4 linked regions of the Diceros bicornis minor genome follow. The protein of the gene in region 1 purifies or fractionates together with the protein of each later gene. This does not show direct contact. Links are inferred from orthologs where the notes say so. Each region holds a gene or a part of one and is shown in the gene's direction. Other genes may lie near its edges. The genes, in order: GPN3, POLR3E, POLR2G and POLR2M.

Region 1 (7,459 bases):
CGGATCCTGGGCGCACACCAACGCCCCTCTTGGCAAGCCATGCTGTGGCAGCGTCCCATATAAAGTGGAGGAAGATGGGCACAGATGTTAGCCCAGGGCCAGTCTTCCTCAGCAAAAAAAAAAAAAAAAAAAAAAAGGAGGATTGGCAGATGTTAGCACAGGGCTGATATTCCTCACAAAAAATAAAAATAAAAAAAATAAAACTTGAGACATATTCCCAGAAGAATGGAAACTAGTTTTCAGTTTCAGACATATTGAGACCACTAACTTAATTTAGGGTATAAAATTCACTAGCAGTTTGGGGAAAAACAATATCTGGCAAAATTTAATCGGGAAATAACTCTTTGTACACTCCTCTCCACACACCTACTCTTTCCAGGCAACTACTAATGTGCTTTCTATCACTATAGATTAGTTTTCATTTTCTTGAGTTTGATATAAAGGGAAACATACAGTATATATTCTGTTTTTGTCTGGCTTCTTTCACTCAACATAATTATTTTGAAATCCATTCTTGTGATATGTAACAATAGTTCATTCCTTTTTATTGTTGGGTTGTATTCCATTGCATGTATGTATAAACCACAATTTGATGATCCATCCACCTCTTGATGGACATTTGGGTTGTTTCCAGTTTTAGGCTATTACAAATAAAGCTGGCAGAATAGATTTTCAGTTAAAAGTTTGTACCTAGTAAACTCAATTAAATAAACACAGTTTCGTTTCAATATTATTGATAACAAAGGCCACTATAATCTTACATATTAAACTTTAAATTTAGTGATTTCTTCGAGATTTCGGCAATGGTTAGTGCAGATAAGTAAGACATATTTGCATACTCAAGATTTTGGATGGTTAGTGCAGATAAGTAAGAGTTATATTTGCGTACTGAAGGACTAGTTTGCCAACAAATAGAAAATCATCTGGAAATTATGTTATTATGACCCTTAAAACATAATTTGGAATCGGTAATAATGAATACCATTTCAACATTATAAAAGTTTATTTTTTAAAATCCTTTTTAAGTGATAAATGTGGGTTAATTATCTAAGAATATAGCTTTTGTGTCCTTGCTAATCAGTATTTCTGAGATGTATATTATAGCCTAGACTAAAATTTAATTCCACAAAAGCTTGATAGCATTTCTTTACAGAAAATGAAACATTTAAAAATAATAGTTAAACTCAACAACAAACAACCCAATTGAAAAATGGGCAAAGGACTTGAATAGACTTGGATGTCTCCAAAGAAATACAAACAGCCAATGAGCACATGAAAAGACACTCACTATGGCTAATCAGCAGGAAAATGCAAATCAAAATCACAATGAGATACCACTTCATACCTATAAGGATGACTCTCATCAAAAAAACAGAAAACTAGTGTTGGCTAGGATATGGGGAAATTGGAACCCTGTGCATTACTGATGGGAATGTAAAATGGTGCAGCTGCTGTGGAAACAGTATGGCAGTTCCTCAAAAAATTAAACAGAATTGCCATATGATCCAGCAATTCCATTTTAAAATGACCACATTATTTATATATGCATATATATGTATTTTTATATATATGTACATACACTCACATATGTGTGTGTTTTTCCTAGGTAACTGTAAGGACTATAAATTTTCCAAGGAAAAGTAAAGTGAATCCAGGTTTATATATCATTGAATTGAAATTTCTCTCTCCTCCAAAATTAGTGAGAGGCCTTTGAGGGCCTGTCTGACTCTTAACTCCAGCAACTCTATCGTTTATTTCAAGTGAGAGGAAAATAGGAGCACTGAGAAATATTTTATATTCTTTGAAGTTGTTCAGTTTAGATTTTTTCCTTCAATCTGCATATAAACCCCAGGCTGTGCTCTGTGCTTTTCAACCAACATCAGTTATAAACACTGTTCTTTTCAGATTCATTGCTATTTTGAAGTACTCTTTTTAAAATGCTTGATGTGAGATATCTTAACAGGAGAGAAAGAACCTGCTGGATTGTTCTTTGAAAATCTTAAAGAGTAAGTTCACCAAGGATGCTAATAAAGTCTATTTTAAAAACTCCATTGTGTAAGTGGTCATAGCTAAATTGGCTTCTCTGCACCATGTTATTTATAGGTATTTGCTTTATATGCTCTACTCACCAGTACCTTTGGAATTCTGGTAATAAGAATGTCCAGCTGATCTGTTAAAAAAAGGATTAAATAATATGTAATAATTGACAAGTTTATAAGCAGTAAAGAAAGTATTTTAAATGAAAAAAGGCAGTATTTCATATCCTTTTTACTTTTCATGTTTCCATCAGACAGAATGTCTTGCAAATTTTCTCTTTTAATTCTGGTTGTATCCTAGTGGCTCCAGGCTTTTTCAAAGTGAGTTAACTGAGATTTTTACTCTACTAGAAAGGATTGACTTTAAGCCAGATTTGGTCTTACTTTTATAGTCTCCTAATCTAATTCCTATGTTAAGCTCAATAAAGTAGTCTGGGCTTCTGTGCTATCCATGATATTTTTTTTGCTCTCTTTATTTTTAATAAAGTAACTTGGGTATGGAAAAGACTATCTTGTTCTTTATTGCATGTAATTAAAGTGTACTGGAACTGATAAGTTGGTCTGGAATGTCTCTAATTTTGTACAAGTTTTTTTTTTTCTTTTCTCAACTTAAGACAAAACACCCTTCCCTCCCTCTTCTTTCAATTTATTCAATGACCCAAAGTTCATTGATCTCTCGACATACTGGGATCCAGCACTTCACCAAGCACCGTGATGAACAGAAAAGAAACACAAGACCCCATCCCATCTTTAAAAGGTCAATCCGCCAGATACATATCAGCAGGAGCCATGACTGTGGGCTGAATTTAGAGAGGAACACCTGGCAACTCTAGATTTGGGGAATAACTGATGGAAGGGATGAGGAGGTAATGCCTTCAGCAACTAATCGTCTTCAGCATCCAGGAAATAATAGTGGACACCTGCTCAAAATGAAACGGATTTATGAAGGAAGGAATTTCTGTGGGAAGAAAATGTCAAGATCAAGGTGCCTCTAATATTCATAATCACTTGTCTCATTGGCGATTATGAATCCCGTTGACATAAAGGTGGCTAATGTCACATACAGGGAACTGAATTATTGACTTGGAAGCCCTCGGTTGAGCCGGAGGAATCTGTCCCCGTTGTCCCCCTACCCGCCTTTATGCAGAGATCCTGTGGCAAGACGGCAATTTTTCCAGTAGGTTTCGCAGCGCCCCCTCGAGGCAGAAAGACGTACGCAGGCGATTGTCGCAGTCCCTGCATTTAGTCATTGCACCAAACCCTCCTCCTAAGCTTCCCTCAGAAGCCCTTCCCCTAAACAGTGAGTCGGCTTCCATATTTCCCATCCCAGCCACCAAAAAGGTTCTCTCCTCCTCTCACTTCCGTGCACTGGGGAGCCAGCTCCCACTCCCTCCTCTACAGGGGGATCTCGACCCTGGGCTGGTCGCCGTCCTCCCTAACCCCTCAGTCTCACCCGCCGCCGCCACCCACAGTCCTGGCCCCGCAGTCTCACCCGCCGCCGCCACCCACGGTCCTGGCCACTGCGGGCGGCTCTGCGGAAGAGCTGCACTCCGTCCAGTCGGACACCGCACCCTGGCCGGGCATCTCCTCCCGGGTGCCAGGCCCGCGAGCTGTGTGCGGGAGCAGCTTTCCCCTTTCCCCTCCCCCGTCAGCACGCGTGCGTCAGGCCGGGCGATATTGGGGGTGAGAGGCGGATGCCGGATTCGAGCCCCTTCCGATGCGGTCCGGACACTGCCCGAATAGCTTCGGGAGAGCGGGGAGGGCAGATCCACGATCTTGGAGTTAAATTGGGGGAGGGGCGGGGGTTCTTTAGTTGATTGCGCGTTTGCACGTTTGCATCTTTTTGTGGAAGGGACGTGTCACGAGAAGGAAATATACATGCCCTCTAAAACAAGAAGTGACTTCCACCTCAGTATTCCAGACCCTCAGCAAATTTGCAAACCTCGAGTTCCATCATACAGGTCAAACGTCAGTACGCAAACCAAGGTCGAAAGCACCCGGCGCAGGGATGCTAATTGTTGTCGGTTATCCGTTATCACCAAGGCAACCCGGCTCCGCCTGTATCCCAACCGCAGATTTCCGCCAGCTACTTCTGCGCACGCGCAAACACTCCCCCCTCTGCCGGACGGCGCGTTTCACATGGAATTTGGCCTTCGGGACGCGCCGTAATCAGAGGTGTGGCGGAACAGAAGACGCAAAAGGAGCTTGGATTGCGATTGGTTCGCACGTCGTGTTCCCGGAACTCAGTGGGCGCCGCGCGAAGGCTGGAGGGAGCGTGGTGGTCAGACTGTTGGTGCTGTGGGACGGGAGGCGCCGGGAACCCCGGAAGCCGGCATGCCTCGATATGCGCAGCTGGTCATGGGTCCCGCGGGCAGCGGGAAGGTGAGGATTTGGCGGGAGAAGGAGAGAAAAGTCGGAGTTCGCGGGAGGCAAGGAGGTTCGGGTCCTGAGGGAGGGACCGGCGGGTGTGTGTATTGGGGACCCTGAGACCCTGAGCAGGCCGCCTCTGCAGCCTGGGCTTCAGTGTCCTTGTTGTTGTTGTTTTGAAAAGAGACTAATGATAGTTGCTAATATTGTATACTTATGCCCCAGATAGTGCGGTAAACGTCTCATTTATTTCCACAACAACTCAGTGAGATAAGTCTTATTCCCATTTTACAGATAAGGAAAATGAGACATAGAAAAGTTAAGTTCTTTGTCCAAGATCACACAACTAGTAAGGGACGGCTGGAATTTGAATCTGGTTTTATCTATCTCCAGAATCTGGCCCTGTCTCCCTCCCAAGAGGTTCAAGTGGCATCTCGTTAATCACTGTTTCTCAGAGCTTGAGACATGGACTTCTGGTATTTGAGGCGATTTTAGGAGGTACATGGGCCTGACATTAATGAGCATTGAATCATACATTGAGAAAGTTGCTCCCTTTTTAATTTTCTTTCAGTTTGCATTGAGGTGAAATTGTCAGTTTGATGTTAGTGTATCTTTTTTTGTTTTAAGATTTTATTTATTTATTTTTACCCCCCCAAAGCCCCAGTAGATAGTTGTATGTCATAGCTGCACATCCTTCTAGTTGCTGTATGTGGGACCCCGCCTCAGCATGGCCGGAGAAGCGGTGCGTCGGTGCGCGAACCCCGGGCCGCCAGCAGCGGAGCGCGCGCACTTAACCACTAAGCCACGGGGCTCTCCCTTATGTTGGTGTATCTTTAACACTTCTTTAATCCCCAAGTGTTTTCAGAGAGCAGATCTTAGACTCAGCTTTTGACAGGCAATTGTATTTAGCTTGAATGAAAAGAGTTATAAAGTTGTATTTAATTTTATGGTTACCTTCATGTTATGATAAATATAACTGGTTTTCTGTTTATGATAGACATACAGTTTTTTCTTGTAAACAAGTATTAAGGGAATAATATTAGGGACATTCAAATATGGTAGAAATGGTGAACGTATTAGTCAAATAACAGGAGTGTGGGAAACACCCGAGTCTGTGGAGGTGTTGTGTGGCTTAAATCTTTAAATTAACACATCGTTCTGAGGTTTGTCCTCAGTCTGGGTGTAGGAGTTATACATGTGACTATGATATGGCTCTTGCCTACCCAGACCTATAGTCTATCTGGAAATACAGATAAATGACTTGTCAGTTAACATACAGTGTGATGCATGGAGAGGGCCTCCTAGGCAGAGAGAACAGTATGTGTAAAGTCACTGAGGAGAAAGTGTGATAGAGGTTATTTCTATATTCTGGACTGCTTTTTGGACTGATTGTGTTAGGTAAGTATCTTTCTATAAATTTTTGGTGCTTATGATCAGAAATACTCATTGAGCATGTTCTTTGTGCCAAGCACTGTTCTAGGCCGTTGGGGATTGTGTTATTGAATAAAAGACACACACGCAAATCTCTGCCCTTATGGAGTTTATATTCAAACATTAAGTCAGTCGATTATAAATCATATTAAGTCAGTCGATTATAAATCATTATCAAGCATTTATTATGTATCAGGTACTGTGCTAGTTAGTCCCTGGACTTATAAAACTGCGTAAGACACATCCCAGCCTTTATTTTTTTTTTTTTTTAATTTTTATTTATTTTTTCCCCCAAAGCCCCAGTAGATAGTTGTATGTCATAGTTGCACATCCTTCTAGTTGCTGTATGTGGGACGCGGCCCCAGCATGGCCAGAGAAGCGGTGCCTCGGTGCGAGCCCTGGATCCGAACCGTGGGCCGCCAGCAGCGGAGCACGAGCACTTAACCGCTAAGCCACAGGGCCGGCCCGACACATCCCAGCCTTTAAGTAGAGGTTGGGAGAGACAGACAAGTAGCCTAGAGATTTTTAACGTAGTGTGGTAATGACTACATGAGGGATAAAGAATTCTGTAAACCAAAAGTTACAAATTGATAGCCCACCTCCATGCTATTTATTGACGTCAATGTTCTCTCATCATGGAATGCTCTTCCCCTGGTTTGGCAAGCGCATTCCCATCCCTTGGCTCAAATATCGTCTCCTCAGAGAAATCGTCTCTGACCACCCTACCTAAAGCCTTGTTTGGACTGTTCACGTCCTAGTGGAGACACTATGTGTTAGTTGCTGCACTGTGTAACCAGAAATGCTCCCTTTAAATTCCGCTCATTGCACGTTAGAGCAGGAAGGAGTCTTAGTGATCATGGAGGTCATCCTAGTTAGAGATGAGAAAATCGAGGGGCAGAGTGGAGAAGCAGCTTCTCCCAAATTACCCTTGAGTCCAAGCCAGTTCTGCAGCCCAGTCAGGTGTCCTGATTCCCAGCGCAATGCCTTTGCCCTTTTCAGACAGCTTTTTAGTCGATGAACACATAATTTTGGCCTTAGTAGACACTGCCCAGGGGGTGTAGAGAGTCCTTCTGGGGGTGCAGGCAGTAGCACTGCACTGCCTGTTGCTCTGACTCCTCATGCCTTGTGACATTGCAGAGCACCTACTGTGCCACCATGGTCCAGCACTGTGAAGCCCTCAATCGGTCTGTCCAGGTTGTGAACCTAGATCCTGCAGCAGAACACTTCAACTACCCCGTGATGGCTGGTGAGTTCTGAGCAGAGCCTTCCTCCTCCTTCAGGAAAAATAAGGGTCTGGGGACGCAGAGAGTGCTGGCTGCTCAGCACAGAAGCTAAAAATCAATTATTACAGTCTGGTCCCCTGTTTTCATGGTGAACAGCATGAGGCTGGGTATCATTTGGTGACATCCACTCGTGATGATGTATGTGTCAGTATCCTTTCTTGGTCTTTGATGTAAGAATTAAAAGTGAATAGACTCCTCCCTCACCACCCTTCCCTTCTGTGCCTTTCAGGCTTAGTCCTGCTGTGGTGAATTGGGTATACTGCTGATCATACTATTAGTGAGCAGCCTAAGTGCTTTGCTTTTTTAAATTCTTTTAATGTATTCATTCACATGTCTGTCGAA
Region 2 (7,860 bases), on another chromosome or scaffold:
GGTCTTGAGCTGGCAGCCAGAAAACCATTAGGATTTCTCTGTGACTCTGCTCGTCTCATTCGATCCTTCTTTCTTTTTCCATGCACTGGCTTTCTCTACTTCTCCAATCCATCTCACAGAGTATGGCCACCCCAAATCCCCCTTTCTCTCTAGATCCAGTCAGTATCAGAGACTAATTCCAACAACCTGAAATACAACTGATTCCAACACTTAAAACAGTCAAATTAACAACTCAGAAAGTCACCACGTCTCAGTTCAGATTCTCAAAAGAGAATCTGATTGATCTGACCTGAGTCCTATGTCTACCACAGAGCCCACTGGCCATGGTGTGGGGCAGGAATGCACAGCACGAAGGTGGCTGCCAGGGACCCATTCTCTGGGCTGGTCAAGCAATTCCTAGAAAAGTGGGATTAGGCAGATTCCAGCAATTTTTCTTCACAATGGGGATACTTTCTTTTGGAAAATACTGCACACGACTCACAAACAAATACACTCCCTCCTGGTACTAAAACCCCATGACTAGATCAATGCTTCTATTGATCTCAAGAACTGTTCCTCATTTAGTTTTGAATCCCCTTCAATGCTTGGTCTGTGTCCTCAATAGATGGCTGCTTCTGTATTTTTAAAAATTTCCTTTAAAAGCAACAAACTCTCCTAGTTCAATGAAATCTTTTCATATTGATACTTTTGTTAAAGGTAAATGGAGGAAAACTTGGTTCAAGAGGAATTGAAGAGAAGAAAAAATATGGAATGCCCAAATGTTAGGGTGTGTCAACTGGATATTAACCAGAAACTTGAATATAACAATTTAACTTAATATAAAGAACTTAAATGTACATATTCATAGCATGGAATAAATTAGATCTATATGTGTCATAATAACCTCAAAAGGAGTAGAAAGGCAAGTTGCAGAATGATATTGATATCATTGATATATTGATAATGATAATGATATTGATACGATGGAGTAATGTTTATATAAGTGAAAAATATATTGAAGACACACACACAAATTCATGTATAGATGTGAAAGTATAAGAGATAGATTGGAAGGATACACATCAAATGCATGATAACAGTTATAGCCAGGGAGGATGTTTGGGAAGGGGGATTTATTTTCATTTGTAATGGTTTAATTATTTTTAAATGGATTTTTAAAAGGACAACATATTCATACCATTACCTGTGTAACTTTTAACAAAACGTATATACGTTAAGAAAAGGATTTGAAGTGAAATGACACAATATTAGGTGGTGGGAATATGGATGATTATTTTTTCTTTGTTTTTCAGTATTTTTAAATATCCATATACATCAACATGGATAGATATTTAAAATATATAGTCGGGTAAAAAATAGTCAATTGCAGATCAATACTAAGCATGATAATATTTATGTAAAAACCCACACCAATAAAAACAAAACCTCTATTTTCTATGGATGCATATACCCATGCCAATATATCCATATAAATTCACAGCAAAAGATCCAGAAGGATATATACCAAGCTGATGATAATGGTTACTTCTATTGAGGGAACTTAGGATGGGGGTCAAAGGTAGAAGAGCATTTGTGCGTTGTCTGCAAAGTTTTAATATTTTGCAAAATTTCACGTATTATTTGTGTAACTAAAAATTAAAACATAGTTTTTCAGAAAAACTGCCGAGACCAGCTCCCCTGGTTTGTCCTTGGGATCCCCTGGTGCGGGTTACTTCCAGAATCCATCATTTCTGGGAAGATACATAACCCCCAGTACAGTGGGTTAACCTGAGGTCTCCGAGGTAAACACCCGACTCAGAATACAGACTCTTCAACTGCTCTTCGCTTTAAAACCTATTTGGAACAAGCCTGGGTCTAAATATTGGAGCAAACATTTTTTAAAAAATACATGGCATGTTCTAAATAGTTCTATCAAGATCAAATAAAACATATTAAACAAAGAAACTCCAGGAAAAAAATGCACTGCAAGCGCATGTAATGCCATTAAATAGACGCCTGGAAGACTGCTTCGTCAGCTAGGTAGCGTGGCCGAGCGGTCTAAGGCGCTGGATTAAGGCTCCAGTCTCTTCGGGGGCGTGGGTTCGAATCCCACCGCTGCCAGTGCTAGCTTCTTTTGTCGCTGTTGCCTTGGCACCCGGCTGTTCTCGGCTCTGTTTTGCCGGTGCATGGGCGCCCCCTGCCGGGCCGGGCTGGCGGGCCCCATGAATGGAGCGGCGGAGGGGGCGGACCGCGAGAGCCGGGGCGGCGCATTGTGGGTAAAAGGAAGCGCGAGGGCCGGCGCGGCTCCCCCCACGTGTCCGCCGGAGTTTCTCCAGCAGCAACATGGCCGCTGCCTGAGAGGAGAGCCGGGCCGCCGCCGCCTCTGCAGCCCGCGGGTACCTGGGCCGTTGCCGCCGCCCGCGCGCGCGGGCCCCGCGGAGAGGTGAGTGCCGAGTTGACAGCCCCCGCCCGGGCTTGAGCCGGGCCGCACTCACGAGGTGGGCCCGGGCTGGGCTGCCGAGTAGGCCGGGAGGCCCGCGCCGCGCCGTGCCCAGGGACTGGGGGCCTCCGGGGCCGGGCGGGAAGGATGGGCAGCCTGCCCCAGTAGACCCCGGCCGGCCGCGGGCTCCGACCTGGGCCCGGCCCGGGAGTCGTGGGGGCCGCAGCGGAGGCTGCCGGCGGTCGTGACTCAGGGTCCAGCCGCCGTGCCCCGCCCGGCCCAGATGGGCCTCCTGCAGGAGCACCTGTCCCAAGGCAGCCGGCGTCCAGCTGGCGTGGAGACTTGTGGCGATGGCTGCGTGGTGGGCGTGAGAAGGGGGCCTGCCCACCCGCGAGGGAGGCGAAACCCATTGGACAATGTGGCTCGGGGCCGGCGGCCCGCCCTGATGGGCAGGTGGAGGGTACCCGAGCCTGCCTGGGCCCCCTCCTCGCCGCTGAACCAGATCAGCCTCCGCCCGGCCGGGCCCGGGATTCCTGATTCATTTAATGAAGTCACCATTCAGTGATCATTGGGAGCCAACACTGCCGCGGATACGACCCTAACCATTTGGTCGGAGGAGGGGTCAGTAAGCACGTCAAGTAAAGCAGTCAATAAACAAGGTCGTTCTGTTATGTTAGCTTTAGAATCGTTGGTCTTGGGGGCAGGAAGAGGAGATCTTAGCAGACGCCACGGTTTCTTCATCTGTGAAATGGGGATAGTAGAATTTCCTACCTCATAGGGTTGTGGTGAGGGCTAAATCGGCTAAGACAGGAGAAGCTCCAGCTTGCAGCATTTGATTTCTGGCTAAATCTCATACCCTCTTAGAGTAAAAGAAAATATGTTGCCAAGTAATAACAAATCCTCCCACAGGTTACATTTATCATCGTGGTTAATCCTCACCACAGTCCTCTGGGGGTCGATACTTTTATTATCCCCTTTTTAGGGATGAAAACAGTGAAGGATAACCAGCATCAGACAGTTCCGAGTGGGCCACAGATGGTGGGTAGCAGACAGGGGATTTGAACCTTTGCAGTTCTGCTCTGGAGTCCAGGCTTTTACCCACTATACCATACTGCCTTTTATTAGGAACATGTGCAGCATAGTGGTTAAGAATGAGAATAAGGATCTTTGACGGCTAGACTGGAGAATCTGGCTTGCCATTCTCTAGCACTGTGACCTTGGGCAAGCTACTTACTCTTTGAACTTTAGTTTCCTCGTTTCTTAATTAGGGATGATAAATCTTGATTTATAGGGCTATTGAGAAGATTTAATGAGAATGTATGTGAAATCCATAGAGAAGGATCTGACACTCACTTAAGGGTTAATTAGTTCTTCTTGTCCCCTAGGCCAAGTCTTCCTTTAACAGATGTGGAAACTGAGGTGACCCAGCGAGGGGAAATGCCTTGTCCAAGGGGTACACAGCCAATTAGAAGCCAGGCCTTGAGACCATTTGCCCTGGGGACTTCTCCCCTTAACTCCGTTGTATTTTGTCCTCTCAGACCTCCCTCACTCCCTCCAACAGCTGGAGATCCGTTTGGAGTTGCCTCTGCTTTTCTGATTGACTGACAGGTTAGATTCCTGGGGGCAGCATGGATGCACCCAACTGTGGCATCCCCTGCTCTGGACCCCTCCTTAGCTCCACCTGGTGTCCTTGTCTCCTTTCCATTTGTTGAGCAGCTCCCTGTTGAGGGAAGTTTCCTGTGCCTAGGGCCATGGAGCCGCTGCCACAGAGTAGCCTTGTGGCCACAGGACCCCTGTTGAGGCCAAGGTGGTCATTGCTATCAGAAGAGCTTGGCTCATGGTGGCTGGGAGGCCTGCTCTGGCCTGCGCCACAGCCCCTGTCTGTTCTTAAGTGTCCATGTGGCCCAAACTATGAGGCCCCCGGTCTCTGGATGGGGCTGAGTTAGGCTCACTGTGTTGAGGTTCTGTGACCTCCTGATTTTAGACACTCATTCACTCAGTTATTCTTTGCACTATATTGAGTGTCTGCTTCATGCCAGGCACTGTTCTAGGTATGGGAACATAGTGTGAGTTTGAAAAAAAAAGAGATGATAATCCCCATAACAACTTGATGAAGTAAGAGTAGTTATCTCCACTTTATAGTGAGGAAACTGAAGCACCGAGAGACGCTCACAGAGCTTATTTCTAGTGCAGAAGATAGACCACACATAAGCAAACAGACTAGATAGTTTCAGATTGTGATAAGAACCACGAAGGAAATAAAATCAGGAGATGTGGTAGTGATTGGGAAGGGGTTGTGAGTGGGCGGGGGCTCTTTAAGATGGGGTGATCAAGGAATCTGTCTCCTCCTGGAGGGGGTGGTGGTGATAGCTAATGAAAAGGAGCCAGCCTTGAAAAGACCTGGGGAAAATAGATGTTGTGCAAAGGTCCTGAGGCAGGCTGGGGCTTCGCCTGTTGGAGGCCCAGCAAGTGGCCACCTGGCCAAGTGGATGGTGAGGTAAAGCGGGGCAAGATCATGTAGGGCCTTGGGGCCATGGAAGGGAGTTTGGATTTTATTGTATATGACAGTTGAAAGGTTTTGAGCAGGGGCATGATGTGATTTACTTTTTTACAAGAACAACTCTTGGCTGTTTCTGAAAGGATTGGAGGTGGGAGAGGGGCTGCAGAGAGACTTGTGGTGCAGTACCTTTCAAATTGCAGTTTGAGATTTATTAGTGGGATGTGAAATCAGCTTGGGATTGTAACCAGCATTTTTAATTTTAACGAGCAAGAGTAGAAAACGTCGCTGCATCACATGTAGTAGAGACAGTCATGGCTGTGTGAAACCTTGTTTTAGTTACATAATTGTTGTATGTTCTGGGTTGCTTATGTGAAATGGACTTCTTGCTGTGGGTCTTAGGCTGAAAACTTTGGAAGCCACTGAGTTGGCTGATATTGGGTGGGAGGATGAAGCGAGGTGTTAACCCCTGCCTTAACCCAATCAGATGTACTATCCAGAGGGAGGGGCTCCAGCTCAAGGTACCTCATCCTCCCTGAGCGCCTCCGTGACTGGGAGAGGCCAGCAGAGCACAAGAGCCGGAATGCCTGTCTCTGGGAGAATAGTTGCATCTTGGGAACCTCCCAGGCCGCACCCTCTTAGTACATATGATCTGTTCCCTGGCTCACCTGGAAGGCCCCAGTCTCTCAGTTGTGCACAGAGCCAGCCGTAGAGAAGGTAGGTGCTTGACGTACATCTGTGGTCTTGGCAGGCAGTGCAGAAGGGGTGGGGTCTTGGGCTCTCCCATCCGTCACCTTCTGTCTGGGGCTTAGAAGCCACCTAAAACTGTCCATTTGGGGCTTCTAATTTCACCCAGTCTTCCATCTCCTTACTGTCGCTGTGGCCTGCTTCCCTCTAGTCTGTCTTTTTATCCCCTCCAGATTTTCCTCTACTCAGAATCCTTTGGTAGCTCCCTATTAAATAGCATTCCTGTGATTCATATTTTCAGACAACAAATATGTGGTGAGTGCCTGCTGTGTGCTAGGCACTGGGGGTACAGCAAGGGACCAAATAGATGCTAATCTCTGCCTTCCTGTAGGCACTTCCAACTTAGTGGCAGTGGGGCTGGGGACAGATAATAAACACAGAGCTATAAACGGTCACATGGTGATAGGTGCTATGGAGAAAGCCAGAGCAGGGAAGGGAGTTGGTGGGGCGGGGTGCAGTTTTGAGTTAGTTGGACAGGGAAGGTCTTAGCCATGAGGTGACATTTGAGCAAAAACCGGGAAGAGATGGGCCGGCCCCGTGGCTTAGCGGTTAAGTGCGCGCACACTCTGCTGCTGGTGGCCGGGGTTCGGATCCCGGGCGCGTACCAATGCACCGCTTCTCCGGCCATGCTGAGGCCGCATCCCACATACAGCAACTAGAAGGATGTGCAGCTGTGACATACAAGTATGTACTAGGGCTTTGGGGGGAAAAATAAATAAATAAATAAAATTATTAAAAAAAAAACAAAAAAAAACCAGAAAGAGGAGGAGGGATCCTGAGGTGACCGGAGGGTAGACCAGTTACAGAGGCCCAGAGGTGGGGTGGGAGGGGGGAGGAGAGAAGAGGGAAGGAGGCCCGTGGGAGATGAGGTCTGAGAGGTAAAGGGGCTGGGGTGGGGGTGGGTCGTAAAGACTTTGGCTTTTATTCAGAGTGTGATGGGAGGGAGGCCTTTGAAGATGGAGGAGTGACGTGATCTGAGGTGGCTTTCCAAAGGATCACTGGCTGTGGGGTTGAGCCAAGATCGTAGGGGGCAAGGGTGGAAGCAGGGAGACCAGTTAGGAGGCTGTTGCTGTAATGCAGGTAAGATATGGAGCTGGCTGGTCTGGGGCGGTGGTGGTGAGGGGGCCAGATTCCAGACATCCTCTGAAGAGAGAACTGACGGGATTTGCTGGTGTGGGATGAGAGGAGGAGAAGCATCAAGGATGAGGCCAGCATTTCAGCCTGAGCAGTGTGAGTTTGGAACGTGTATCTGGAGTAAGTGAGGTGATTTCAGGTGGTGGTGCACGGGCAGGGGGCTTAGATGACATTGAATGCCACCCATGGTGAAGGAATATTTAAATATTAAATAGCTCAAATGTTAAGTAGATAAGATAAAAGTCATGATGGTCTTACTCGAAAGTAGAGGTCTGGGGACTGCTGAGATATTAGGGTGCCCAGGCGCCTTTCTAAGGAAGGGTCAGCCCAGCTGAATTAGTTCCCCTCCGCCATGGAGACCTGCAGCCTTCCCTCCTCCAGGTACTTGAGTGCTTCCTGTCACCTGAAATCCCTCCTCCCCTCTGCTCTCGTGGCTTGTCCTAACCCTTCAAGGCCCAGCCCAAACGCCCCGCCTGACCCCTTCCCTTCCCTCTTCTGAACTCCCCTACCTGTACCTGCTGCCTGAAGTCGGATGGCCTGGCTTTGAAGTCCAGCGGGTCCTCTTACTTGCTGTGTGGCTTTGGGTAGGACACGTAAAGTGCCTGCGAGTTCCAGTCTCCTCATTATAAAGTGGGGACAATCAAGCCACTCACAGGGTTGTGTGGGACACATTAGAGAAAAGTATGTAAAGAGGGTCATTTTCAGACACACACACACACGTGCGCATACACGTGCACACACGCACACACACACGCACGCACACACACACGCACACACGTGCACACACGCACACACACACACAGAGGAGAAGCATCTCACTCTGGGTTGGGCTTCAGGTCAGCTTGAAAATCAAATACCAGAGACAGAGACAGCCTGGAAAGCCGTGGGACCATCTGCTCGTCCTCTTGGACGCGGGAGTCTTTAAAGCTTCCCCATGGCCCCCAGTTAGTTCTCAAGCGTTTTCATTGTGGCTGTGGACCCGCCAGCCTCCTTCCTGCCTGGCGGTGAATTCTTCTTTGTGAGTGGTCAGAAAACACTTAAAACCAGTCATTTATTCTTTCCC
Region 3 (7,990 bases), on another chromosome or scaffold:
ACGGCTAGAATGGAGAAAGCAAGAGGAAGAGAGGTGGAAAATGGAATTGGCTGGATCTGTCCCCTGCCTGGTAGGCCAGGGTGATGACTTTATTCTAGGGCCTTGGGAAGCCATTGGGTTCTAAGTAGGAAAGTGACATGATTTGACTTGAGTTTTGAAAAGATCACTCTTGGCAAAGAAGCACATGAAAAGATGTTCAACATCATCAGTCTTTAGGGAAATGAAAAATTAAAACCACAATGAGATACTACTACACAGCTATTAGAATAGCTAACAAAACAAAACAAACAAAAAAACCCTATGACAATACCAAGGGCTGCTGAGGATATCAGAGCAACTGCAACTTTCATACCTACATATACAATTAGATAATATTTACACCACACAGACACAATAGATGTAAATAACCTCAAGAGGATTGATTATAGTAAATGGTGGTAAAATAATTAGGAAGTGATGAGTTTTGAGTATTTATTACTAATGCGTCTGACTTCAATTACAACGTATGGATTTTTTCCCCACACATCCAAGCAATTCTTGGACACCAGCTGAGTGTCCTACAATTTAACTCAATTCTGACACCGTCTACCTGGAGATAGCGTCAGATTCCACAGGGTAAGGGCTCAGTCCTACAAGACTGCCCCCTCCCTTAGATGCCAATTACAAGTCCAGGTTGTCACTTGTGCTTCTGACCCACTGGCAACGACCCCCTCTTTAGGTTCAATTAATTTGCTAGAGCGGCTCATTGAAGCATTTTACTTACTGGATTAGTTACTGGCTTATTAAAGGATACAACTCAGGAACAGCCAGATGGAAGAGAGGCAAGGGTATGGGGAAAGGGCGCGGAGCTTCTATGCTCTCTGAGAATGACGCTCCCCCCAAATTTCCACGTGCTCACCAACCTGGAAGTTCTCCGAACCACACTCTTTTGGGTTTTTATGGAAACTTCATTATGCAGGCATATGGATTAAATCACTGGCCATTGGCCATTGATTCAACCTCTGGACCCTCTCTCCTCCCTGGAGGTCGGGGGTGAGACTGAAAGTTCCAACCCTCCAATCACACACTATTGGTTCTCCTGGCAACCAGTCCCCATCCTAAGGTTCTTTCCAAAAGTCACCTCATTAACATAACCTCAGGTGTGGTTGAAAGGGGTTAGTGGGGCCAGCCTGGTGGCGAAGTGGTTAAGTTCTGGCACTCCGCTTCCACCACCTGCGGGTTCAGATTGCCACCTGCGGGTTCAGATTGCAGGCACGCTCATAAAACCATGCCGTGGCGGAGTCCCATATACAAAATAGAGGAAGATTGGCACAGATCTTAGCTCAGGGCCAATCTTCCTCAAGCAAAAAGAGGAAGATTGGCAATGGATGTTAGCTTAGGGCCAACCTTTCTCACCAAAAAAAAAAGAAAAAAGAAAAAGAAAGGGGTATCATTATGGCTATCAAGACATCTTTATTGTTCTTATCACTGTTGACTGGAAAAGCCTCAAAACGAATTTATTTGGGAATAGTTAAAAGAATTGCAATTCGGGGGGCCGGCCCCGTGGCTTAGCGGTTAAGTGCATGCGCTCCGCTACTGGCGGCCCGGGTTCGGATCCCGGGTGTGCACCAACGCACCGCTTCTCCTGCCATGCTGAGGCAGAGTCCCACATACAGCAACTAGAAGGATGTGCAACTATGACATACAACTATCTACTGGGGCTTTGGGGAAAATAAAGGAGGAGGATTGCCAATAGATGTTAGCTCAGAGCCGGTCTTCCTCAGCAAAAAGAGGAGGATTAGCACGGATGTTAGCTCAGGGCTGATCTTCCTCACCAAAAAAAAAAAAAGAATTGCAATTTGGGAAGTGCATGCTATGGCAAACCATAGGCAAATCCCACAAAGAAGAGGAGCAGCCTTTATAGAGGAAAAGGCGAGTAGGAAGGGGCTGTTCTAAAGGAAAGCCCACTGGGGCAAAGTGACAGTTCAGGGCAGCAACAGCTTCTCATTGGCTGAGCTGTGGCATTTCACATTGGCTGGGCTGTTCCCTGGTAGGGAGAGAAATCTTCCATCAGTAGTAAAGTAGTTTTACTTCCTGTCCATCTTTTCCTGTTTGGTGTAATTGATCATGTGTGATAGGGCATGAGACCTCCCCCTACAGGCCTTCCTGAGTACAATTTAGTTAAGGTTTCTTTCATTAATTTCCACATCTCTTAGGAAATTTTAAGTGTTTTAGGAGCTCTGTGCTAAGAACAGAGACGAAGACCAAATATATGTTTCTTATTATAAATCACAATATCACAATTACCTTTGTTTTTTCCTAGCTTTTTATTATGAACAATTTCAAACACACAAAAGTAGATGGAAAAGTATAATAAACCACCATTATCTGTCATCTGGCTTCAACAATTATCAATATATTGCCAAACTTGTTTCGTTTATACCTCTTTCTTTGTTTTTTAATATAATTCATTTCATTGTAAGTTAAAATAATTAAATTTTTAATAATGGCTGTGTTTGAGACAGGAACCAGCCTAGTGAGACAGGGCCATCTGCAAAGCCCCTGGCCTAAGAAGATAAGGCCCCTAACCAATTGGCAAGCTAAGAGAATCAGATAGAGGCCAACAAGATCCACATTCCGCAGCCTCCGGACTTTCCTGGGTTTATGTCTGCACCCTAGCACCCAGGAGTCCACTGAAGGTGCCTAGCTCCATTAGCATAGTAAAAATCACACCCAGGGGTGGAGAGCTAGCACACTAATGATACATGCGTCACATGTAGCAGCATGCTACGAGACAGCACAGGCACAAGCACAACCCCACCTCTACATGCCATGACAAGGGATTCCTCCCCAGCCTTTGCCTAATAAAAGCCCCACAATCCTGCTCCCTAACGAGCCAGTTGCCTGCCCCTTTCCTTTCTGTACCAGTTCCCTTGTGCCTCTCTTATGCACAAGCTAATAAACTTTTACTTTCCTACTCCTGCTCGTTGTCTCTCTTGATTTCCATCCTGGGGGACAACAAGAACCCAATGTACCAGTAACATGTTTAACCACTGGCTTGCAAAATTCGTGAAATATTAACAATTGGCTCTTGTAGTTGTTACTCCACAAAATTGGGGTTCTCTTGCTCGATGCACATAAAGAGCCAATTATTACAGCATCAGCTTTTGAGAAAAGAAAAGGCTTTATTGCGAGATCAATCTGTGAGGAGACAGAAGGCATAAGCTCTTAGATCTGTCTCCCTGATTCAGGATTTGGGGTGAAATTTAAGAGGTTAGGGAGAACAGGCTGGTATGTGGAAATGCTGGCAGGGCAGGTTTTGACTGAAGGGCTTTAAACATTTATGGTAAGGTGTGGAAGGGGCTTTAACACGAGATCTTCCTAGACAACGGACACCTTGCTTCTGATAAGAGTCTAACTTTTGAGTTCCGGTCGTGTCCTGGTCCTTTGGTTCCTGGGTTTCAGGTCAAGATTTTCTCCTCTGGGCTATGTGACTTTGCAAATTTTTTGCTTGCCCCTGAAAAACCTTCTGTTGATAAGATGGGGTCAGTTTGAACTGGTCCTAGAGGGCCCATGGTTACACAGTCAGCTCCAGCACACCACTGTCAGCAGGTAAGGTTGCCCTTGCAGGGAGCCTGGCCTGAAAAAGAGAGGAGGGAGTCAGGGGTATGGAGGCCCACTCATCTGCTTCCTTGCCTGATCATGGGCAGAAGGGATCCCCGTGGAGTCTGAGCAGCTGACTGGCGGCCTCAACCATTCTAGGAGATGGGCAGCATCAATGGGAACTGGCCTCTGTTCTTGCAGGAGGGTAGGTCAGGCTCTTTTACTTCCAAGATACAAAAACTTACTCAGGCAACAAGGAGTTTGCTCAAGGCTGCATAGACTGCCCTGACTCTAGAACCAGATGCTCTTGCTGAGCCTCTCTCATAGGTCTGTCTCATGGCGTTTCTGCCTCTCTCTGCATGGCCCTTTTATAAGTCAGAGTCTCCGCGGGGAACATATTGCACGCTGACTCTGGTTATCTGAGGTAAATTTAATAAGGGACCATCTACAAAAATGTAGGCAGAGTTGAAGGAACAAACAAGGGCTGACAGGTTCTCTAGGTCCCGTGTGGGTGTGGGTGTGTGTGTGGGTGTGAGGCAGGGGGCTGGGGATGAGGAGGAGCATAGCGACATAGTTCTCACACTGGGAGGGAGCGCTGCCCTCTGGGGTCTGACTTTGGCTGCTTTATCGCCAAACTACCGGCTCCTGGCAAGGAGTGGGTGCTAAATAAACATTTGTTGAACAAATGAGAGCATGAATAATATCTAGAATGCCTGAATATGCAAGAGTCTAGGAGTCAGACATACTGAATTTGAATCCCGGCCCTGAGTGACCTCAACCCTCTGAGCGTGCGACCTCCTTTGGAAATGGGAATAACAATAAAGCCCGCCTCACAGGGTTGCTGTATGGATTCAATGAGAGAAGAACAGCTACTCGCTATGCTTACTACGTGAAGGCAGTCTTCAAATATTTGCTGAATGAATGCACTTTACTAAAGCGCTTTACTTATGCCAGCTTTCATTAATCAATTAATTCTGTTTAAAAGTATGTATTGAACCTCTATTCTAGTTCAAGCATTGTTAATTTATGCGCGTGGGGCTCTTTGCTGGTGGGCGGGGCGAGGGGCGGGGCCTCATGGATTCCCCTCCCACGACAACGAGGCCCAATTGGGTCCGCGGAGGGGGCAGAGTCCCGCCCACTTCGCTGGGGCAGGACCGGAAGTGGGGTTACGGCTGCTGCGTGTGTTTGCGGTTGATCTGGAGGCGCTGCTGCCGCGGCAGGTCTAGACTCTGCTGGTCTCCCGCCTCATCTGGGAAGATGTTCTACCACGTGAGCAGGGCGCGGGGTGGCGGCGAGGGCAGAGTCGAGGGGAGGAGGGAGGCGGGGCGCCGGGGTAAGGGGCCGCTTTTTGCCCCATATCCCTGCCGCGCTTGGCCTGGTCTCCATCCCACTTCCCCCGCAGATCTCCTTGGAGCACGAGATCCTGCTGCACCCGCGCTACTTCGGCCCCAACTTGCTCAACACAGTGAAGCAGAAGCTCTTCACCGAGGTGGAAGGGACCTGCACCGGCAAGTGAGTGCCGCGCCCTCCGTGCCGCCTGATCGATGCGCACACGGCGCCCTATGCCCCAACTCCTGCTCATCCTGCAGGGGCCTGCCACCTACTCTGGGGAACCCTCTCACCCTCCCAGGCGCCCCAGGCAGTCAGTTGCTTTCTTCTTTGGGTTCCCATACGCCCTCTGCAAAGCTGGATCATAAGACTTAACTTCCCTCAGTTGAAATTGGTCATTCATTTATTCCGCATTTTTAAAGCTCCTGTTGCGTGCCAGGTCCTGTGTTGGGCCCTGGGAACAATGCAGTGAACAAGACAGAATGAGGCTAGCCCTCATGGAGCTCACAGTCTAATGACTGATCCTGTGTCTGCTCTCCCTCTGTGATTCTGCTAGCTTTCTCTGTCCCCCATGCCCCGGGACCTGGCATGGCACATCTCTGGCCTCTGCACAAGAGGTGCCTCTCACACGGTGTTGTGAATGAGCTGCAGTGAGCCCAGGGCTATGGAGTACTTGGGCCTCCATCATCAGAATAACCTGGGGTGTTCCTTGAACATGCTGGTTCTTGAGCCTCATCTCACCCCTACAGAATCAAGACTTTCTGGGGACAGGCCTGGGAGTCTGCATTTTAATAAGTTCCTCCCAAGTGATTCTGAGGCATCCCAAAGATTGAGGTGTATTGGCTCAAGGACTGCAGCCTTCTTGGACATTGATCGTGAAATTACGAGAGGAGCATTTGGCATTATAGATACCAGTCAGAGTCCTGTCTTCTTCCTGGTCATTAAGCTCTCTGGGGGCAGGAGTGCCATCTACTTCCCTTTTGTGCTGTCCCTCAACCCTCAGGCTCACTGACTCTTGTAGATGGTTTTAGAGGCTCTTCACACACAGTGCCTTTCTCTTTCTCATCCTCCCTGCAGATACGGCTTTGTAATTGCTGTCACCACCATCGACAATATCGGTGCTGGTGTGATCCAGCCAGGACGAGGCTTTGTCCTTTATCCAGTGAAGTACAAGGCCATTGTTTTCCGGCCCTTTAAAGGGGAGGTCGTGGATGCTGTTGTCACTCAGGTCAACAAGGTGAGACCATACACAGGGGAGGCAGTGGGGTGGTCCCTCAGGAGATGTGGGATGGGTCCCAACTCCACTTGCTAACTCTGTGTCCTTGGCCAAGTCACTTCTTTGGGTTTCAGTTTCCTCACCTGTCAAATGCTGTGGTAATCTCCCCCTGCCTCACTCAGGGGCATGTAAATCAGTATTAATAGTCATAACGACAGTAACCTCCATTGATTGAGTAGTTACTGTGGGCCAAGTAATGTGCAAAGCTTCACAAGGACTCTGTGAGGTAGTTGTTTTTTTTTTTTTTTGTGAGGAAGATCAGCCCTGAGCTAACATCCATGCTAATGCTCCTCTTTTTGCTGAGGAAGACCGGCTCTGAGCTAACATCTATTGCCAATCCTCCTCCATTTTTTTCCCCAAAGCCCCAGTAGATAGTTGTATGTCATAGTTGCACATCCTTCTAGTTGCTGTATGTGGGACGCGGCCTCAGCATGGCTGGAGAAGTGGTGCGTCGGTGTGCGCCCGGGATCTGAACCCGGGCCGCCAGTAGAGGAGCACGCGCACTTAACTGCTGAGCCACGGGGCTGGCCCCAGAGGTAGTTGGTTTTATCCCTTTTTTTTTTGGTGAGGAAGATTAGCCCTGAGCTAACATCCGTTGCCAATCTTCCTCTTTTTGCTGAGGAAGATTGGCCCTGGGCTAACATCCGTGCCCATCTTCTACTTTATATGTGGGATGCCACCACAGCATGGCTTGATAAGCTGTGCATAGGTCCGTGCCCAGGATCCAAACCCGTGAACCCTGGGCTGCCGAAGTGGAGCGAGCAAACTTAACCACTACAGCATCGGGCTGTCCCCCCCGTTTTATCCCCTTTTTTTTTTTTTTTTTTGTGAGGAAGATCAGCCCTCAGCTAACATCTGCCAATCCTCCTCTTTTTGCTGAGGAAGACTGGCCCTGGGCTAACATCCATGTCCATCTTCCTCCACTTTATATGGGACGCCACCACAGCATGGCTTGACAAGCGGTGCGTCGGTGCATGCCCAGGATCCGAACTGGCAAACCCCGGGCTGCCGCAGCGGAACACGTGCACTTAACCGCTTGCGCCACTGGGCTGGCCCCACGTTTTATCCCTTTTTATAGAGGCTTAAGCTTAGAGTAATTAAGTCTACTGGCCAAGGTCATGTGACCAACTTGTTCAAATCCTGTACTGACAAGTCCCAGGCCTCAGCTCTTTACTACTACCCTGTATTTGTTTAACATAAAATGAAAGCTTGAAAAAAGAGAGAAATAAAACAAATGCTACAATTCAGAGTGGTTTCAACACATGAAGAATATCATTAGGAATCAGATAAAGATGGGAAGCTTAGAAGACTTTAGGGAACAAAGGAAAAAGCAAGGTCACTTATTTTCCTTCTAGGTTGGACTCTTCACAGAAATTGGACCTATGTCCTGCTTTATCTCTCGACATGTAAGTCTGGGCAAGCTGGGCGGGGGCCAAGGAGGAGAGACACCCATGCATGACCATCTATGGAAGCATCCATTTAAAGTGCTGACCCAGTCCCAATTTCCTTTCAGTCCATCCCATCAGAGATGGAGTTTGATCCTAACTCCAACCCACCATGTTACAAGACCGTGGATGAGGTGAGTGGGTAGGAAGAAGTCAGTGAGGGAGGAGGGAATGAACCACTCTCGGGGAGATTGTTGGCCTGGAGGTGTCTCAGTACACTGTTCCCTCCTCCCTAGGACATTGTGATTCAGCAGGACGATGAGATCCGCTTGAAGATTGTGGGGACTCGCGTGGACAAGAATGACATTGTGAGTCTCTTGCCTGCCTCCCTGCCTGTACCAGGCAGAGCTGAGAGCTG
Region 4 (8,025 bases), on another chromosome or scaffold:
CCAGCCCCTTGAGGGGCACTTTTAACAGCTTTGTGGAGAGTATAACTGACATGCTATACACTGGATATATTTAAAGTGGACAATGTGATAAGTTGTTACATCAAATGAATACACCCATATAACCATCACCACAACCAAGATAATGAACATATCCATCACCCCCAAAAGTTTCCTCTTGCCCCCTCGTAATCCATCCCCCAGCAGTTTCCTCTTGCCCCCTCGTAATCCTTCCCCCCAGCCTCTCCCTGCCACCTCACATCATTAGGCAATCACTGATCTGCTTTTGGTCACTATAGATTAGTCTGCATTTTTAAGAATTTTATATAAATGGAATATTTAAAAGAATACATACTCTTTTTTTCCTAGCTTCTTTCACTCAGTACAATTGAGATTTGTGAAGTTGTTGCATGTTGCATGAATACCATAGTGTTCAATTGTATGGATATACTACAATTTAATGTTTATCCATTCACCCAGTGATAGACATTGAGTTGTTTCTGGTTTTTGGCTATTGCAAACAAAGCTGCTATGAATATTTATGTACAAGACTTTGTATGGACACATGCTTTCATTTCTCTTGGGTAAATACCTAGCAGAGGAATCGCTGGGTCATATAATAGGTTTTAAGAAACTACCAAACTGTTTTCCAAAGTGGTTGTGCTATTTTACATTGCCATTGGCAGTGTATAAGAGCTCTAGTTGTTCCACATCTTTTCCAACACTTGGTATAGTCAATCTTTCTAATTTCAGACATTCTGATAGTTGTGTAGTAGCATCTCATTGTGTTTTTAATTTGCATTTTCCTAATGGCTAATAACATCGGTGACCTTTCATGTGCTTATTTTTCATCTATACATCTTCTTTGGTGAAATATCTGTTCCAATCTTTTATAACCTAATCTTGGAAGTGACACCCCATCACTTCTGCCATTGGTATTACTTTTACCATATTCTGTTTGTTACAAGTGAGTCAGTAAGTCCAGCCCATATTCAGTTGGAGGGGGACTTCTCACTAGGGGGACCATTGGAGGCCATCCTAGAGGCTGCCTACCACAGATGGCTTCCCATTTCTCTTGGAATAAAATTCAAACTCCATATCTTGGTCTACAAAGCCCTGCAAGATCTAGCCCCAGCCTTTTTAACTGTTGTTATTTGAGGAGCTCTTTCTCCTTTTAGAGCCTGAGTATTTGTTCTTCCCTCTACTTGGGATACTTTTCCATCAGATTTTCCTATGGCTAATTGCTTCTTGACATTCAGGTCTCAGCTTATAAGTTACATCCTCAGAAAAATCAACCTCAATCACCCAATCAATCAAGGTGGCCTCCCAATTACTCCTTATCACATCACCTGTATTAATTCTCCATGTAACACTTTAGTACTATCTGATGGAATGAAAGTTTCAATGTGGCAGGAAACGTGTCTCATTCGTCACTATATCTCCAAAGCCTAGAACAGTGTCTTACACACGATAGGTCCTCAATAAATATTTATTAAATGAACCAATGAATGAGATCTCCAAGGAGGCAAAATGGATGGGATCCAGAGCATAGATGGAGGGATTAACCTTGAATAATGTCCCCATTACTATTGCTGTTTAACAAACCACTCCAAACTTAAAAGTATGAAATAATGACCATTTTATTATGGCCCCAAATTCTGTAGATCAGGAATTCAGAAAGAGCCTAGTGAGGATGTCTCTGCTCCAGAGTTTCTGGGGCTCCAACATGGAAGTCTGGAAGGCTGGTAGTGACTTGACAGTTGGGGGCTGGAATCATCCAAAGGTTCGTTCATTCACACGTCTGGTGGCTGATGCTGCCGTTAGGCTGAGACCTCAGCTTGGACTGACAGCCGAAACACCTAAGCAAACTCAGGTTTCTGCACGGCTTGCTGGTTGGGTTCCAAGAGTAAGCACCTCAGGAAAATTAGGCAGAAGCTGCATCATCTTTTACCATGCAGACTGGAAAAATCACTTTTGCTCTAGTCATAAGCATGCCCAGATTAAGGATAGGGAACATCAACTCCATTTCTTGAGAGGAGGAGTGTTAAATTCACATACTAAGAACATGTGGGACGGGAAATATTTTTGCTGCCATTTTGGTGTACTCCAGGTAAATTGTGACCAGTTTTGTGGCCGTTCACGCCCCCAAACTGACAATCATTGGGAGAAAACAGAGAAGAGCAGCCTGCAGACTCTGAAGATTAATGTTACAATTTTACAATTGATTGGCAATTGTTATATTCAACTCTGTAAGGACAAATGGAAATCTTTCCCGGGTTTTTCTGTTTGATTTTGTCATCTTTAAATCACATTCAAACACTGTCCTTGGGCAGGTTGGTGGAAATGGGATGGCTAAGTCATCCAGGCATCACTTCATATGCTGATGAAATTTTCCTTTCCTTTAATTCTTCGTTGTGAATTTTTCTTTCTTTGTAACAGCCAAGTTCATTAGTTTACTCTGAGGGCAATTAACACTCAGGTGATTAATCCAAGTATCATAGGAAAACATGATTTAGAGTTTTTTAATGAGTATTGAAAAACAAAACCCAAAAACACTTGTCTAGATTCAATTTTGTAACAGAAGGGCTCTTTGACATACAATTGGAATTCTTCAGCGGAGATTAGCTGCCTGTGGTTTGTGGGTCCATTTCTTTTCAAGTGTTTTGCCCAGTTTGGCTGGAAACAGGTAAACATTTCTCTGCTTGTGAAATCTCTCCATTTTATATCCTTTTTCCCCAGAAATTGCTGTTAAAGTTTGCGTTCTAAATACTCATCTTTGTTTGTTTGACAGATTATAAAAGAATATGTTGCCTATTTTCATTTTGAAGCACAACTAGCCTGCTTGGTTACTGAAAAGAGAGCTAGACAGTTTGTGCATAGCTGTGGTTAGGAACTCAGATTTGTATTATGACATCTTGAGTCCTAAGCTATGTTGTGTAAAAGATTCTATCCCATACCACTGAAAATATCTTCACAGTAATTATGGTTAATACTTACAGAAAAAGCTTAAGGTTTGTATACACAAAAAGGACTTTCATTAAGAGAAAGAGGAATATGGAGTAAAAAAATTATGAGAGGGAGATCCTGTCAATTCGTACCCGTTATGTGCATTAGGGGGAGACAGAAAAGTACAAACCCAGCTCTCTGACAGAATTCCCTGACTTTAAAATTTTGTTAGAAAGGAAAAAGAAATCACCATGCATAACACAATGAGAGAAGCATTATATGTTTCATATTGTCAGGTTCATAGTGAGGTTCTGACTGTAAGCACTACAGTTATGCTCAAAAGAAAGAGCAATTTGGGTTGGAAAAATCTAAGAAGGCTCAGGGCGGAGGTGAGACTTGAGCCAAGATTTATAATGGGGTGGGGGGAAAGGGACAGCCTTCCACAAGAGGACAACAGCCAGGGGCAAAATTCTGAGGCTTGAGAGAAAGGCATCCTCGCCTTGAGGACACCTGTGGCCCAGGATCTTAGAAGATGGGGATGACTACTGTGGGGGAATAAAGGCCTCCAGCTGCGGCCAGAGACAGGATGAGGGAGCCTTTGGGGGAGCTTGCCAGCGGGACAACTACCTGACTCAAAGGCCTTACTCAAGTATTTCTTCTTTAGCCAGGGCTGGAGCAGGTATTGAAGTCCTTGAAAGCTGGGCTTATGTTGAGAATTTTGATACATTAATCTGATTAGAATGGACTAGATTGGGAGGATATAGAAATGACTTCAACTGTGCTCCCTGGAGTAGCTTCTGCTTTTATCTAGAGCTTCTGTCTGATTGGGAGGGAATTGCTTGTGTTTATTATAGCACTTGACATAGGATTAGAAAATTTAAATTTTCCATATCAAAGAATGGGGAGTTGGAGTTTATGGGGGTGTTCAAACTTCCCAATCGATATCTGTTGCAACTCGTGCATGCTTCCTACTCAATCTTTTGGGACATGGCTCTGTTAGCTGAACTGTAAAGAGAAGGTAAGAGCTGGCTGTGATGCTTATGACACTTCCTTCCTCTTCTCAACAGCTGGAAAGAAACTTTTCAACAATATTATACATTTGGAAATAGGCATAAAATGAAGAAGGAGGAAATTTCCAAAGTGGTGTGGTGGAACGAGCAGCTGGACATTTGAGTTTGAAATCTGATGTGTCACTGACTTGTTTGGGGTCCTGGGAATACTTACTTCAGTTTTTGTGCCTCTGTTTCTCTATAGGCAAAATAGGGAATTGTGAAAGTGATTCTCAGCTGGCTTGGACAGCTATTTCCACCCCCTTCACCTCTCATGGGCCTTGGGAAACGTGTGTGTAGGGGTCAGGAGAGCCGTTTGGGGTTGTTACAGTGACTGTGGCAGTAGCAACTAGTGGGCAGAAGCCAGACACCAACTGTCTTTCAATGCCTGAGGCAGTGCCATAGATGAAGAAAAGTCCCGCTTCAAATGCCATAGAGCCCCATTAAGAAACGCCAATGGTCCCAAGGATCCTTCCAACGTTAACATTTGAGGACTTCACTAAGTCTTGGGCTAGGAGGTGCCATAGCATAGGCCAGGGCCCCTCAAACCCTGTCCTGCACTCCGCCCCAACCTCACCAACAGCTAGCTAACTCATCACTCAGATTTCACTTATATTTCACTTCTCAGAGATACCATCCCTGGTGCCCACCCCAATCTTACTATTACACTGTTTTCTTCTTACTTGATTAACGTCTGCCTCCTCCACCACTCGGTAGCCTGTCTAGCGGCAAGGGCCGTGGCTACCTGCCGAGGTCACGGTGGCACTCAGTAAATACTTTTTGAATACACACACGGAGACTGGACGCACATGGAAACAACCTGCACCGCAAAAGCGAGCCCAGCCGGGGCGTGACGTCACCCCGTCACTTCCGCCCCTTCCCGCCCCTCCGGGTGCCCCCTTCTCCTAGTCTGTGTCTGTTTCCGGCGTTTCAATAAAGCTCGATTCGGCTCGAAGACGACTTGTTCTTCCGGGAAAATGGCGGCTCCCGCTCGTGCCCCGGAGTCCCCGCCGGCCGCGGATCCGGCGCTAGCAGCTGGGGCTGCCGAGGAAGCCGCGTGCCCGCCGCCTCGCCAGGCGCAGCCCCCGCAGAATGTCCTCGCTGCCCCGCGGCTTCGAGCCCCAAGCTCCCGAGGACTTGGGGCAGCGGAGTTTGGCGGAGCTGCGGGAGATGTTGAAGCGCCAGGAGAGACTTTTGCGCAACGAGTAAGCTTGGCTCCCGCCCAGTCACTGCCAGGCTCCTTCGGTTCGGGCTCCCCGGGACGCGTCCCTCCCTTCCCTCCCCCCGTGCCTTCTCTGGAAGGTGACCTTGCCTCAGTCAGATTCGTCCCATCCGGCTGGCGAGTGGCCGGCCTACAGCCGCAGAGCCGACCGCGTCCCGGCCGGCGCGTCCCGGCCGGCGCGTCCCGCCCTTGGGGGTGGCTCCTGTGCTGAACGGCGGCTTGGCCTTTCTGCTCTCCGCTAGCTCCGCGTTGGTTTTCTTTACTCAGCTGCCGTGTCTGTTCCTCGAAGGAAGGCTCTGTGTACTACGTCCTTTTCTCCCCCTCCCCCATCGTGTCCCAAACATCATCTCAGTTGCATCGTTCGATCCTATTTGTACAGGAACCGTAGGAAATGGAAAGAGTGGGATATAAAGAGTGGTTTATTAGGCAGAGAAAGTTTGACTCTCATTCAGCTGGGAGACTTAACGGATTTTAGCAGGGGAACTATATAATGGAAGTAATTTTTTTTTAGGAAGCTAAATTTAGCAGCTTGGTGCAGGATGGTTGGAAGGAATAAGAGGCAGAAGACAGTAGGAGGATATCTTCAGAAAAGTTCCCAACGAGGGGGTTGTAAGAAGGCGAACTAGAAAGGTAGTTGAGGGATTGGAAAAACTACATTAGGCGTGGAATAATTTGAATATGTAGTTGACAGAGAGGGTTGAAGTTTCCAGCCTGTATGGAAAACCATTAATAAAAACAAGAAAAACGTGGAGAGGACTACTTCCCAGGTTGATTTTACTTAAGGCATGCTGAGTTAACTAGTTACCTGGTTAAAAGCTGCAGAAGTGGTCATGAGGCTCAAGAGAGAGAGGAGAAGGTTGGGAAAATACAGGAATCGCAACTGGAGAGAGATGTTACTAGTTGAAATTGTGAGAACGAATATAGTGCCAGAGAAAGAATAGAGGGCCTGAGATGTAACTTCCCTCCCCATTTATTGTTTAGCTAAAGACAAGGGAATTTGAAAAGTAACTTCTGTCATTCAGCAAAAGGGACGAACAATCACTTGGGTTCTTCCTAGTAGAGACAAGTTTTTTGACTTTGTGAGAATGAGTTTTTAATCTTTAGCAGTGAATTAACTTTTTGGTCCCAGGACCCCTTTGTGCACTTAAGAATTGTTGAGCATCCCAAAGAGCTGTGGTTTTATGTGTTATATATACTGATATTTATCAATGTGTTAGAAATTACAAGTGAGAAACTTTTAAAACACAAGAATACAAAAGCACACACATTCCATTAGCCATCAGAGCAGTGATATCCTCACATATCATGTGGCTTCTGGGAAGCTCCACTGTACCCATGTGAGAAAATGAGAGGGAAATGGCAAATGGTGTCTTAGTACTATTACGAAAATAATTTTGACCCTGCAGACTCATCCACCTCCCCTCCCTAGGAAGGTCTTGGAGATCACACTTTAAAAACTACTGATTTTTGTAATGTTTTATATGGTTCTTATATGCTTAAAATACTTTTGCTGAAATTTTAATTAGATGAGACAAGTGAGGCATATTCCCCATTCTTCCTGCATGTCCTTGTTTTTTTGAGGTATTTGGATAGTGACTGTCTTATTTCATTCCTGTTTTGGGGCAGTTGGAAATCAGATTTTTGACTTAAAGGTCAATTTTGGTCCTTTTGATGATAATGCTTTGTCTTTATATCTCACGTTTAAAACCATGGCTCTAATGTATACATGTTCTTTTCCATTTGACAGAAAATTCATTTGCAAATTGCCCGACAAAGGTAAAAAGATAATAGACTCTGTTGCCAAACTGAAAGCTGCCCTTGCAGAACGTGAAGAAGTTAGAGGGAAGAGTGAACTGTTTCATCCTGTTAGTTTAGACCATAAGCTAAGGCAAAAAGCAGTCGCAGGTGTGGACGTGGACACGGATAAGGCCCAGAACTCTGACCAGATCCTTGATACTTCATCACTAGTTCCTGGCTGTTCCTCTGTAGATAACATCAAGTCATCTAGAACAACCTCACAACAACAGGGACTTGTATATCCTACTCACAGAGGTGATGCAGAGGCTCCAGAGGTTGAGTACGCAGTGAACAAGTGCCCAGCTTCCAGCAGCAGAGACAGCGCGCCTTCCTCATCCAAAGCTAGCGAGCGTCTCCCTCAGCATCGTGTTTCAAGTCAAGCAGAAGATCATTCTAGCAGCTCTGACAACCTGTTTATTGATAGGTTACAAAGGATCACAATTGCAGACCCAGGTGAACACCACTCTGAAGAAAACACCAGTACTGAGAACTTGACAGGCCTTTGTAGTGGGACTCAGAAGAAGCCTCATTACTTGGAAGTGCTCGAAATGCGAGCCAAAAACCCAGTGCCCCCACCACATAAATTTAAAACCAATGTGTAAGTACCATCGGAAACAGGCTGTCATGGCAACATAGTATTTGTTAAACTCAAAAATTGGAAGAATGCTTTCAGTTCAGTGGACTTGTGCGTGAGAACTACTTGTGGTTAGGAATGAACATATTGTAAACAGACCAGAGGATTTATGTTGAAAAATACTTAAGCTTTTTTAGCCAAATAGTTGAAAAGATTTTAAATAGCAGATGGAGTATTAAATTTCGGGATGCTTAGGCAATATTTCATAATAAACACAGAGTTAGAGAATTTATTATGCTTTTTTCCCCGGAACCATTTTCTGGTATACAGCTCCCCCCTTTGATTAGACTGTAGGCTAAGGGAAAAGCAATCACAGGAGCTGATGGCCTTTCTCAGCAAAAGATATTTGCGTGCTCACTTTCTGTAAGCAGCAGGTGCTG

Evidence for each region.
Region 2: the proteins of GPN3 (region 1) and POLR3E purify together in Homo sapiens (affinity purification with mass spectrometry; 3 studies listed by BioGRID and IntAct, counting the BioPlex papers as one, with this or other methods). This does not show direct contact. The link is inferred for Diceros bicornis minor from reciprocal best matches to the Homo sapiens genes GPN3 and POLR3E.
Region 3: the proteins of GPN3 (region 1) and POLR2G purify together in Homo sapiens (affinity purification with mass spectrometry; 3 studies listed by BioGRID and IntAct, counting the BioPlex papers as one, with this or other methods). This does not show direct contact. The link is inferred for Diceros bicornis minor from reciprocal best matches to the Homo sapiens genes GPN3 and POLR2G.
Region 4: the proteins of GPN3 (region 1) and POLR2M purify together in Homo sapiens (affinity purification with mass spectrometry; 3 studies listed by BioGRID and IntAct, counting the BioPlex papers as one, with this or other methods). This does not show direct contact. The link is inferred for Diceros bicornis minor from reciprocal best matches to the Homo sapiens genes GPN3 and POLR2M.

Annotation. Positions count from the first base shown.
Region 1 is NC_080774.1:8,983,715-8,991,173, reverse strand, and holds the start of GPN3 (GPN-loop GTPase 3), read left to right. Parts: upstream 1-4,291; 5' UTR 4,292-4,370; coding exon 4,371-4,418; intron 4,419-6,971; coding exon 6,972-7,080; intron 7,081-7,459. Other genes in the region: protein FAM216A, read right to left, coding at 2,130-2,170, 3,529-3,620. UniProt on the Homo sapiens protein: Small GTPase required for proper localization of RNA polymerase II (RNAPII). May act at an RNAP assembly step prior to nuclear import.
Region 2 is NC_080765.1:31,056,322-31,064,181, forward strand, and holds the start of POLR3E (DNA-directed RNA polymerase III subunit RPC5), read left to right. Parts: upstream 1-4,829; 5' UTR 4,830-5,563; coding exon 5,564-5,633; intron 5,634-7,860. UniProt on the Homo sapiens protein: DNA-dependent RNA polymerase catalyzes the transcription of DNA into RNA using the four ribonucleoside triphosphates as substrates.
Region 3 is NC_080770.1:10,374,101-10,382,090, reverse strand, and holds the start of POLR2G (DNA-directed RNA polymerase II subunit RPB7), read left to right. Parts: upstream 1-4,742; 5' UTR 4,743-4,839; coding exon 4,840-4,851; intron 4,852-4,984; coding exon 4,985-5,094; intron 5,095-5,988; coding exon 5,989-6,148; intron 6,149-7,542; coding exon 7,543-7,593; intron 7,594-7,700; coding exon 7,701-7,766; intron 7,767-7,868; coding exon 7,869-7,940; intron 7,941-7,990. UniProt on the Homo sapiens protein: Core component of RNA polymerase II (Pol II), a DNA-dependent RNA polymerase which synthesizes mRNA precursors and many functional non-coding RNAs using the four ribonucleoside triphosphates as substrates.
Region 4 is NC_080744.1:52,976,240-52,984,264, forward strand, and holds the start of POLR2M (protein GRINL1A), read left to right. Parts: upstream 1-4,972; 5' UTR 4,973-5,084; coding exon 5,085-5,197; intron 5,198-6,961; coding exon 6,962-7,609; intron 7,610-8,025.